Linked DNA regions of Canis lupus familiaris. The protein of the gene in region 2 binds, or shares a complex with, the protein of the main gene of each other region. Links are inferred from orthologs where the notes say so. Each region holds a gene or a part of one and is shown on either strand. Other genes may lie near its edges. The genes, in order: ARPC5, ACTR2 and ARPC5L.

Region 1 (3,649 bases), on a different chromosome or scaffold from region 2:
AAATAGGGAGGTCTGGTTACCCTGTCCCTAAAAGTTAGGCTCTCTTTGACAGTGCATGAGTGATCAAGTGACTTGATTAAGACAAGTTCTACAGCCTATTCTCATCTTCCATTTGTGTTTTCACTCAGATACACGGACAACAGCTTCTAAAGACTGAGAGTTGGGAACTGAGAGATATTAGAATATACCCCTTCCCTGTGGTTGGTTCTATTTAAATGTTACACTGTTCACATCTGTACCCATATTACCCAAGAGTTGGGTATTAAAAATGACCTTACCAACTTTTTACCTAACGCTAAAAATTTCCCTTAGCTATTTTTTGAGGGACAGTGTACCACCATCTGCTCACACTGCAGAATCAAATGCATGAAAACAGAAAAACATTGAAGAACTCTTGATCTTACCCCACCTCTGATTTCTTTTCTTTAAATCCTGTAACATACAGAGCATGAAATTTGCTCCTTTAACCATCTTTCAGGGTAAAATTCAGTGGCACTCATTATATTCTCAGGATTATAGTCACCACTGTTTCCAATAATTTTCATCACCCTAAAAAGAAACACTGTCCCCATTAAGTAAGAACTCTCTATCCTCCCTTCCCCCAGTCCCTGATAACCTCTCATCTTCTCTCTCTCTCTCTCTGAATTTGCCTCTTCGAGGTATTTCCTGTAAGTGGAATCACACCGTAATTTGTCTTTCTGCAACAGGCTTACTTCACCTTGCACAACGTTTTCAAGGTTCATTCGTGCTGTGCCATGTATGTAATTTCCTTCTTTCTGTTGTTCAAAAAAACAAAATGTAGTGTATGCATAAAATGGAGTATCTGGGGGATCCCTGGGTGGCTCAGCAGTTAAGTGCCTGCCTTCTGCCCAGGGCGTGATCCCGGAGTCCTGGGATCGAGTCCCATGTCCGGCTCCCTGCATGGAGCCTGCTTCTCCCTCTGCCTGTGTCTCTCTGTGTCTCTCACGAATAAATAAATAAATCTTAAAAAAAAAAAGGATTATCTATTCATCCGTCCTTGGGCACATGTGTGTTTCTAACCTTCTGGCCATGGTCAACGAATTTTTTACTTTTATTGTTTATCTTATTTTCAAAGTTCGGATTTAGTTCCAAGTTCAAGATCATGTTGAATGAACAGTAATCGTTACTGAATAAATATGTGTTGCAAACCAAAATCTCTTAAGACTAGGGTTAGGAAACATAAATCTAAGCTTTCGTTTTCATGCATTTATTTGTAAAGAAAATGATGTAGTCAAAATAATGATTTAGGTGAGAAGAGCAGTCATGGTTACTTTCTATCAATAAGTGGCCAGTTGGAGGGACTCTAGGTCGTAACTTACCTTTTCATGCCATTGCAGTAACACAGCACTGCTGTTGTCAGAGGGGCTCTCGAAGCCTTTATAAATATATTTCATGAGGAGATCCACACCATTTTTGTCCAGGGACTGAACTGCCTTCTCGATATCATTAGCTTTAAAAGAGATGAGCACCTTCAAGACAATACTGCCCGCTCGATCCTGGGGACACAGAGAACAGAGCATTCACACGTAAGCACGTAGAGTGGTTGTTCTGGAAAAGGTGACACTTAAGACCTGATGGACATGGTGCAGCCCAGGTGGCTCAGCCATCAGCCCAGGGTGTGATCCTGGGGATCCGGGTTCGAGTCCCACATCAGGCTCCTGTGTGGAGCCTGCTTCTCCCTCTGCCTGTGTATCTGCCTCTCCCTTTCTCTGTGTCTCTCATGAATCAATAAATAAAATCCTTAAAAAAAAAAAAAAAAAGACCTGATGGACATGAAAGAAGAATCCTTAGGGGTATTTGAGAAAAGTATTCAGAGGAAAGAAGGAAAGAACATGTGCTGTCACTGTATGTTCAGGGTGTTCAAGGAAAGCAGAAAGATCCCTGGTAGCCAGCGACATGGTGGAGGAGTAGGACAGGTCAGGAGGTAGCCGAAGACAGACCACGTAAGCCCTCGCAGGCCGCTGTGAAGACTGTGGCTTTCATTAAGAGAAAGGAGAAGATGTTGGAAGATATTGAGAACAGTGATAGAATCTGACCTGTGTATGAGATAACAGTGATATAATCTGACTCTGGCTGCCATGTTGAGGATGAGCTGATGGGAAGTTGGTGAGGGGCAGGGGACAAGGCTGGGAGACCAGTCTGGAAGTTACTGCAATAACATAGGCTGGTTTGGGCTAGCATGGTAGCTCAGGAGAACGACAGATTCTTGACATGTTTGAAGGAGAGCTGAAAGCATCTGCTTACAAAGAGATATGGTAATTTTCCAACTTTATTAAGTCGGCATTTAAATTTTACTTCTTGACCTCAGAGAAAACCCCAAAGACAAAGACAATGAATTGCAGTTCTACCTTGAACCATCCTTCAATAATAGTTAATAAAAATAACTTTTTAAGAAAATTTAAGTTTCCTGTCTACAGTAGGTAGATATAGTGATATTCATTTATAATTTTTTTTTCTGATAAAAGGCTGCTCCAAGAGCAAAGTTATTTTTCCACTCAAGAAGCCAAGCACTTAATTAAGAACACTTAATTTACCCTTTCAACAATTTCACTTCTCCTATTCAAGAAAGAGTGATTATCTTTGGCATTCCTACTGATCAGGAGTTTACAGAATGTTTCTACCACCTATTGCTGTCTTCAGTTTAAAGACTAAGCAATTACCCAATTTAGAAAAATATTCTTACAACCACAGCTATAACTTCCCACCCACAAACTGTGATAAAAACTCACCCATATAAAAGCAGAAGGTGGTAAAATTGAAATCTCAATGACGTCCCTCACCACTTTCAAAAACCAAAGAAATGTTTCCTCTCATTGTTGCCTAGATAATTATTATGCATTTACCTAAGTTATTACTAGTACTCAAATTAAAGAGATCCTTAGGGCTCCTACAGACAATGGGGTCAGAGCTCTGGGCTTCATTTTATACAATTAGTAAGTAAGTTCTCAAGTATTTCCGGAAAGACTGTTGCAGGGAACGTTAAGTCATGTTTTTCTGAAGGGCAATTTGGCAATGCCACTTGTAACAAAAGCCTTAAAAAATGGCATTCTAAAACCCGGCAATTCGCTTCTAGGAATTTATTCAAAGGAAATAATTAACAGTTTACTCAAAATTGTTCATTTCCGTACTGTTTACAACAACAAAAGGTCAATAATCTAAATACATGACAAAAGATTAGTTATATGTAAACTGCAGCATATCTATATGCAGCCATTAAAAAAGGTGCTTATAGAAATAAACTTACTGCCAAGGAAAGATGTCCATGTATATCATTAAAAAAGCCAATTACAAAACTCCCTTTTTATTTAAAAAACAACTACTAAGAGACAAGCTCTGTAAGCATATAACACCAGAAAGTAAAGACCGATGATCTCTGGGCAGTGGGATGATGACGATTACCCCTTTTTGCCTCTCTCTGAGTTTTCTATAAACATTTAATACTTGGATAATTTAGAAAAATTTTTAAAAAGCAACCAAATAGAATCTATTTATTTTGTAAAAGTATTGTTTATTCTTCAGGCCTATGCTCCAATTCCTCGAGTGCCTCCATTAAACACACTGAAATGGTCTCTCATAACTCAGTATTAGAGTGAGATTATTTTCATATGTAAATTTTTACCTAACAAAC
Region 2 (3,401 bases):
CTTGTCCCTCTTCTCTGACTCCTCTCTGCCCCCCGGCGCTCGCTCACTCTCTTAAGAAATAAAATCTTTTTAAATAAAGGCTCAGTTATATTTGCAAGAAAGCATGTCATATGCTTTAGAAGTCATTTCATTAAAATTACAGTATTTCACATGTACAGAGGGTTGGTTATCTACTGGCAGTGTGAATAGCAAACATTCAGCCCTGCAACTTCCATGTTGAGTTTTATTTAATTCTCCCAGCAATCCCCCTGAGGCCAACGGATATAAAAGAAACTGAAAGACTGTTTTCCTCATCTGAAACCCCAAACGAGTACCTTTTATATCCTTCCAGATCTGAATTCTATAAGCACATCGTGCTCTCTGGAGGATCTACTATGTACCCTGGGCTGCCATCACGGTTGGAACGAGAACTTAAACAGCTTTACCTAGAACGAGTTTTAAAGGGAGATGTGGAAAAACTTTCCGTAAGTACAGATCAATAATGCAACTGTTAACATACTTTTAAAACCCTGTAAAGTAGCTTGTGAATCTTGACAGCCACCAGAGGGAGCAAGAAGTCTTCCTAAACAAATTATTAATGCAGTCCCATGCAGCCTTGAAGAGCTAGGGAGAAGTCAATGACTGGAGGTAAGCTCTGTTTGAGAACGGTGGTACGGCCTGGTCAGCTCTGTATTCAGTGGCCCGAGGCAGTGAGGTCCAGGGCCAAATGTTCCGGTTCATCTGTAATAGCCTGGAGTCAGCTGCCGCTAAGTGCAGGAAGAACCTGCCGAGAGAAGTCCCTCCCCCAGACCCTTTGCTGTGGGGGACAGGTTTGAAGGCCTCCAGTGGATGCCTGAAACCACAGATAATACTGAATCCCACGTTGCTATGTTTTTTCCTATACAAGAACACCTATGATAAGTAATATATAAATTAGACCCAGTAAGAGATTAACAATAACAATAAAACAGGACAGTTATAACAATATAGTAGAATAAAAGTTATACGAACGTCTCTCTCTCAAAATATCTTACTGTACTGTACTCTTGTGATGATGTGAGAGGATAAAATGCCTACATGATGAGGTGACGTGCGTTATGCAGGCCTTTTGATGTAGTGATATGTCAGAAAGAGATCATCTGCTTCCAGACCATGAGTAACTGAAACCACAGAAAGCAAAGCCACAGATAAGTGGGGACTGCTGTACTATGGAGAGAGAAACACTTCTTTGATGTTTTGGGGTGATTTTTAACTTACTTTTAGGATATGTAATCAGCCTTCGTTGTTACTCTTGGACTGTCTCATTTTTCTGATTTTAGGTTATTTTTTCTGACTGTTTCTTGCATATGTCTTATTTCCCTAATCAGATTGTAAAACATCATATGTCAAATATTTTGAATCCCCATCAGCTATCTTAGCTCCTGAAACAGGCGTTAATTGGTACTTGTGAATGTATAGAATAAAAAATAATGTATGAACTAGTATATAATAGTTGATGGTTATTTGGGATTGATTTTTTTTTTTTTCCTACAAACGCTGAAGTGTGTGAAGTATAGTGTATATACTATGCACTCAGCTGGGAGTCATTGAATTCTGAGTTAATCGCTGAGCTTTGTCCTAGCAACTTTGATCTGCTGTTGTAGATAATGAGATTACATATTACAGGGGACCGTATATATCAGAGATACTAATGTCATATCTTTCGACTGTGACTCAGATTGTGAAAATTGAATTGAATGTGGATTCACATGCATTGGACAAACTAAAAGACTCAAAAGGAGCCTTGTTTAAGTATTTTGCTTATTTGTCTATTTTTGAGTTACACATAGAGTTTAAAATTCGTCTCAGGTGATTATTTCTTGAACTGCTTCTGGGTGCCAAACACTTGTCAGGTGCCCAAACAAGCAAAACAGTAGTAAATAGAAACCAGATCCCCACTCGGATTCTGCGAATGTGTCCGTAGTAAAAGGCACGGTGAAGAAAAGTGAAGTAAGGTCAGGGGCTAGAAAGCTGTAGTGAGTGGTGGTACACATCTTTCTATAGTGTGGTCAGGGCCGGGCTCTGAGGGATTGGTTCTGAGCAGAGACCTGAATAGAGTGAGCAGTGAGCCTCGTAACCCTCAGTGCAAAGACTCTTCCAGGCAGGAACGGCAAGGGCTGTTGGGAATGTGCAGGCATGGCCAGAAGGGAAGGAGTGAGCCCAAGGAGGCTTGGGAGTGAGCTCAGAAAGGTGGTTGGAGGCAAGGCTTGTTCAGCCACAGTGAAGGCTTTAGCTTCACTCCTAATGAGATAGAAAGCCTGGGAAGGATTTTGAGCAGGAAAGTGATAGGGTCTGACTTGTTTTAAAAAGGATCATTGCTGAGTCTGGTGTGGTTAGTAGATTGTTGCTGGAGGGAGGAAGAAAGATTGTAGAAGGCTGAGTTAGGCTCGGAGGGACGGGGGAGATGGTGGAAGTTTATGAAGTGGAGGAGGTATGGAATGGTTGTCTTGACGAGTAGAAGAGAGAAGACCTGTGTCATGGAGTTGCCGAGCTGCACTGAGGGGTTCAAGTGACAGAAGTGATGCAGTTAAACCAAGACGTTGAGTTTCTCACCTGTCGTATACAGTTGCTGGGGGCAGCTGTGAAGTGTAGTCGGTAGTTGGTGTTGGGCCACTTGAGTTTAAGAGGGAGAGAAGGACCAAGTCACTAAGGATAACACCAGGAAGTGGTGGAGAGAGCACACACGCATGCAAGGTTGAGGTATGTCTTTATGTGGTTACATAATCAAGAGTGACTACAGAGTGTAAAACTTGTCCCACTTGTCTTTAATTTTGGTTGCTGTGTTCAATTCTTCCAGCATCCCCGTGGTTTACTTGACCATATTTGGTTGTTTATTTTGAGAACATTTCATTTGAATTTGAGACAATATAAAGTGAGCTTTGCTTATAAGAAAAGAATTTCAATCTTACAGTTACATGGGACCCCTTCCTCTATGATTTAGAGGCATTAGACCTTGAAGAAACCGTAGAAGTCCTCTTACCCAAACTCTTGACATCTGGCTAAGTGATTTGCTCTGGTCGTCACCAGGAGATGGGAAAACCTGCCACAATCAGGACTCTGGTACTTGGGCTCTCAGTAGGCTGATTGTAGAAATCTCTTGGTCAAATCAAGACACTTTTGAGAGTGACGGGGGTGTTGTTAATAGTGTTGGGGCAACGGGTATAAATGAGGGCTGTTCTGAGCGCACTGGGATGGATGTGTGTGATCTCTTAGCTGTGAGCCTTGGGCAATATACAAAAAATGTCACTGTCTCAGATACCGAATCGTGCCGTCCTACTTATGTCACAGGACTTGTGAGAATTCAGCAGGAGAATATATGAAAAAATCATTTTCATAAAGCAGAAAGCTTTATGCACTTGTGACATATGATCTTGTTTTTCCCC
Region 3 (4,444 bases), on a different chromosome or scaffold from region 2:
GCTACAGACCACTGCCCCTCGTCTCCTCTAGATCAGAATTTCTCAACCACAGCACTGACATTTTAGACCACACAACTGATGTGAGGTCTGCATGACATGGTGTTTAGCAGCATTGTGATAATCAAAATATCTCCAAACAATGCCAAATTTCTTCAGGGGGAGGAAAAAGTGCAAAAATGTTCAAAACCACTGCTTTGGACAGATCCCTAGTCCTGAGGACCAGAAGGTTCTTCAGTGAGGAAAAAAAGGAATGAATATTTTAAAAATCCCTACAAGGTTTCAGCTCCTGTGCCAGGTGCTTTCACATGTCATCTCAATACTTCAAACAACTCTCATTTGAAAGGCGATGCATTAGAGACTCAGAGAAAGGAAACGACCTGACAAAGTCACAAAGCTAAGCTGTCTAGCTGGCCTTCAAACCCAGGTATACCCAACTCCAGAGCCAAGCTTTTTCTACATACAATCCCCTGCTGTCCCTCTACCCACATACCTCAGCTGCATGTCTAGGACAGTTGCTGTGTGCCCAGCACTGTGAAGCTTCTGCAATGTTGTTGTGATGCTCCCATGGAAGCTGTAAGGCCATGGTTCCCCTCCTTTTCACAGAAAAGGATGCTGAGGTTCAGTTAGGGTATGAGGTCATAGCACGATAGAGTGAAGTCTGCGTGGATACACGGCCCATGTTCTAGTTCATCTGTCTGAATTCCTAGCATGACTCGATTCCCTATACGGCAGTAAGAAAGGCCTTCTCCTCCCTACCTTCCCCCACTCCAACCAATCAATCTCTATCTTCACTCCTCTGGTCTCTATTCTAAGATTCCTAAAAGCCTGTTCTACAGTTTAAGTCAGTGATCTAATATTAAGTCCAATAACTGGTACATGGTAGGGACTCAGTAAATACCAGTTCCTTCTTCCTCCCTCCCTGGGCTCCACAATTGCCAGGATCTCAGTTCTCACCTGCTAACCTCCTTTTCCCCAATCCCAAGAGATATACTGTCCATGGTAACAAGGTTTCTGACACTGTCACTAGTGGAGAAACTGCCACCAACTGGATGTGCTAAACCTAGGCCTCCAAGCAGCCTCAAGGAACCAATCACTAGTCCGAGGGCGTACCAAGAGATGACCTTCAACAAGTCCCTGCAGCACCAGGACCAAGACAGCAGATAACCAGACCTTGTTCTCCCCATCTGTGGATGGTACTGGGCCAGAAGCCTGACGTTGGAGCCTTTTTGGTACTGCCTGCCCATGAGCCAGGTCCTGCACCAGAATGCGGAATCAATCTTCCCTCATGAGGGTCATCCTCATGACCCCATTTCACCAATGGGGTAAATAAGATGATCCTGATAGCACAGAAAATACGAGTTTGAATCCTCACCTTCGAAAATACATTCCTGTTCAAACAAAGAAAGTCTGAAGGTTTTTGTTTCAAAGGCACATTGGCGGAACACTGCAGGACTCCTCCCTAAGGTAGTCCATGGGCCTGACTTCCCAAGCTGAGTCAACTGATTAAACACCCAGAACCTGATTTATACACACAGGAGCCTCCAACCCTGCCCTGGCAAGTGTGGGGGAGGGGTAGGCACTTCCCGTAACACCATTTGAATAAAGAAAAATCCTTCCTGTGAGAGTAAGTCAGTTTCCTGTGCTCAAACGGCTAAGGGACTAAGCAGGCTGTGACAACCACCTCTATTTTTAATCTTGTTTTCTAAATGCTTGCTTTCTGCGGCCACAAGAATAGTCACTTCCAGTCATGAGGCTCTACTTTTACATTTCACTTGATGCTGTCCGGTTTTTCTTAGCTCTAAACTACTAGCTTTTCCCCACTGCTTCCTGCACAAGAAGGCTATTTCGGGGAAGGAGCCAAAAGTCACTTGTTGAACGTGGCTAAGACATCAGGGTCCACAGCCCAAGGTGTTCACAGGAAACAAAACAGGTGAAAAAGAGTGGCATGAAGTTGGAGGGTCAGGCTGATTCTGGGGTGGGAGACGCACAGTCTCCCTAAGGCTGCAGCCCTCGTTCTCCCTTGGGTCCTTCCTACCCCTCGGCCACCCCCCACCTAACTTCGTGGGGTGACTGTGCCCGGGAGCCGTCTAAGGCAGCTCAATTACTCAGCGGGGCTCCCCTCGGCCCCTCCCGCCCATCTGGCGCGAGAACGGCCCCATTTCCTGCAAGGGAGGGATGGAGGGAGGGGGAGCCCGCGGAACGGTCAGTCTGAGGGGACGAGGGGCAGAAGGGGAGTAAAGAGGCCAGGCCTCGCGGAGGAGGGAGGGGCCTGCGGGGCTGCAGGTGCGTCGGGAGTAGCCGGCGGGTCCAGCCGGGTCCAGGGGCCGCGCTCCTGAAGGAGGCTCCGAAGGCCGAGCCCGGACGAGGGGACTGGAGCGGCCGCGTCAGAGGGAAGGGAGGACACATGCACTGAGGGAACCTGAGAGGAGCCGGGTCGGGAGGCACTTGGGAAACGGACCTCAGGGGCCGGGAAGTAGCGGGGTAGGAGGCCGGCCTGAGGGACACCCGGGCCGCTGCGCTGGGTAAGGATATTGCCGCAGAAGGCCATCCACCTCGCCAGGGTCCGGGCCTGGCTCGGCCGCCGCCGCCGCCGCCTCCTCCTGTTCGTCCACGAATTTGTTCTCGTCAAACTCGTCGATGTCCACCCGACGGAAGCGCGAGGACAGCGTGTTCCGGGCCATGGCGGGGACTCGGCGCCCGCTCAGCCGGCTCCGCTCCGGGTCCGACCTCCGATCTACTCCGCTCGGAACCGGCTCAGGATCGGGGGCGGGAAGCGGCCGCCCGGCGCCTCCTCCAGCTCCTCCGCGCGCAGACGCCGCCGCCCGCCCACTTCCGCGCTAGGCCGGAACCGGAAGTGCCGGCGGGCAGGAGGGGCGGAGCCTGCCGGCGGCGGGGCCGGAAGCGCGGGAGAGTCCCCCGGTTAGTTACTACCGGTAGCGCCGCGTCCGGCTCTCAGCTTCGGGAACCTCATTCTTGCCATCCGAGCAGCGGGCACTACGTCCCCACTCGGGCCTAGCGTCGTGGACGCCATAACTGTGCTCGGCTTCCTTTCCGAACCCGAGGAGACCCTGGCCCTGCAAGGGGCCTGCGCGGACTCGGCCGCAGAAGCGGGGTGGAGCCATCACTGCCCAGACTGAGGCGGCTCGGGCACCCCCGCAAGTGTAATGGTCACCTGACCTGGCAGGTGGGGGCGAGGAGAGAAAGAGGACCCTGAGGTCACCATCCTGACTTAAAGGGCGAGGTCCTGGAGGCTAAGAAGTCATTTCCGGCTGGAGAGGCATATCCTGGTGGGAAGCTGAGTCACCTAAGTGTGAGATGGGAAGAGACGGGACCGGGTGCCGAAGGGTAGGGGCAAGAACGACTCTGTGGTTCCAGGATTGGGTGCCTGGGCAGTGGCCTGCGGGATTCTGTTAATAGGCCTTAACCGTGGGATGCTTGGGTGGCTCAGCGGTCGAGCGTCTGCCTTCCGCCCAAGGCCTGATCCCGGAGTACCAGGAACCAGCCCCACACCACATCGGCCCCTGCGTGGAGCCTGCTTCTCCCTCTGCCTATGTCTCTGCCACTCTCTGTGTGTCTCTCATGAATAAATAAATTAAAATCTTTATTAAAAAATCGGCCTTAACCTTAGATTAAATTGGATCTTTGTTTTCATATAATTTTCCTTTTAAAAGATTTTAAGTAATCTCTACCCCCATCATGGGGCTGGAATTTACAACCCTGAGATCAAAAGTCACATGATGTACAAACAGCCAGGTCCCCTGAATTGTACTTTTTTTTTTTTTTTTTTTTTAATGATAGTCACACAGAGAGAGAGAAAGAGGCAGAGACACAGGCAGAGGGAGAAGCAGGCTCCATGCAGGGAGCCCGACGTGGGACTCAATCCCGGGTCTCCAGGATCACACCCTGGGCTGAAGGCAGGCGCCAAACCGCTGCGCCACCCAGGGATCCCGAATTGTACTCTTTTTAATAAAGGCCAAGGCTTAATGAAGTATGACTCGTTTTTATTGTTTCAAATACTTCTCATTGAATTGTGTCTACAGATCAAAAAATTATTGCCAGATTATGATGCTACCTAATTTTGGGTGCTAAAGATACAGACTTAGGCAGCCCTGGTGGTCCAGCGGTTTAGCGCCGCCTTCAGCCCAGGGCGTGATCCTGGAGTCCCGGGATCCAGTCCCACGTTGGGCTCTCTTCATGGAGCCTGCTTCTCCCTCTGCCTATGTCTCTGCCTCTCTCTCTCCCTCTGTGCCTCTCATGAATAAATAAATAAAATCATTTTTTAAAAATTTAAAGATACTCATGCTGGGAAGTAGGTGCTGAATAAAAGTCTCAGGGTCCTGGAAACAGGCAAAGCCCACTTGCCCTTCAGCTCCATTCCTTGAAAGAAATGGAAATTTTTGTGACCCAGGCAGGCCACAAGACAGCAGAGATATCAGAACTTCCT

Evidence for each region.
Region 1: ACTR2 (region 2) and ARPC5 share a complex: the UniProt entries of both Homo sapiens proteins name them as parts of the arp2/3 complex. The link is inferred for Canis lupus familiaris from reciprocal best matches to the Homo sapiens genes ACTR2 and ARPC5.
Region 3: the proteins of ACTR2 (region 2) and ARPC5L are in contact, whole or in part, in a cryo-EM structure (PDB 6YW6), measured with the Homo sapiens proteins. The link is inferred for Canis lupus familiaris from reciprocal best matches to the Homo sapiens genes ACTR2 and ARPC5L. Residues at the interface, in NP_005713.1 of Homo sapiens: Tyr225, Glu263, Phe266, Gln267, Arg319, Lys322, Gln323, Ser338; in NP_112240.1 of Homo sapiens: Arg11, Arg12, Val13, Asp14, Ile15, Asp16, Glu20.

What each region holds. Positions count from the first base shown.
Region 1 is NC_049228.1:16,860,118-16,863,766, forward strand, and holds part of ARPC5 (actin-related protein 2/3 complex subunit 5), read right to left. Parts: intron 1,518-3,649; coding exon 1,341-1,517; intron 1-1,340. UniProt on the Homo sapiens protein: Component of the Arp2/3 complex, a multiprotein complex that mediates actin polymerization upon stimulation by nucleation-promoting factor (NPF).
Region 2 is NC_049231.1:66,017,718-66,021,118, forward strand, and holds part of ACTR2 (actin-related protein 2), read left to right. Parts: intron 1-331; coding exon 332-464; intron 465-3,401. UniProt on the Homo sapiens protein: ATP-binding component of the Arp2/3 complex, a multiprotein complex that mediates actin polymerization upon stimulation by nucleation-promoting factor (NPF).
Region 3 is NC_049230.1:58,232,435-58,236,878, forward strand, and holds the start of ARPC5L (actin-related protein 2/3 complex subunit 5-like protein), read right to left. Parts: upstream 2,845-4,444; 5' UTR 2,682-2,844; coding exon 2,533-2,681; intron 1-2,532. UniProt on the Homo sapiens protein: May function as component of the Arp2/3 complex which is involved in regulation of actin polymerization and together with an activating nucleation-promoting factor (NPF) mediates the formation of branched actin networks.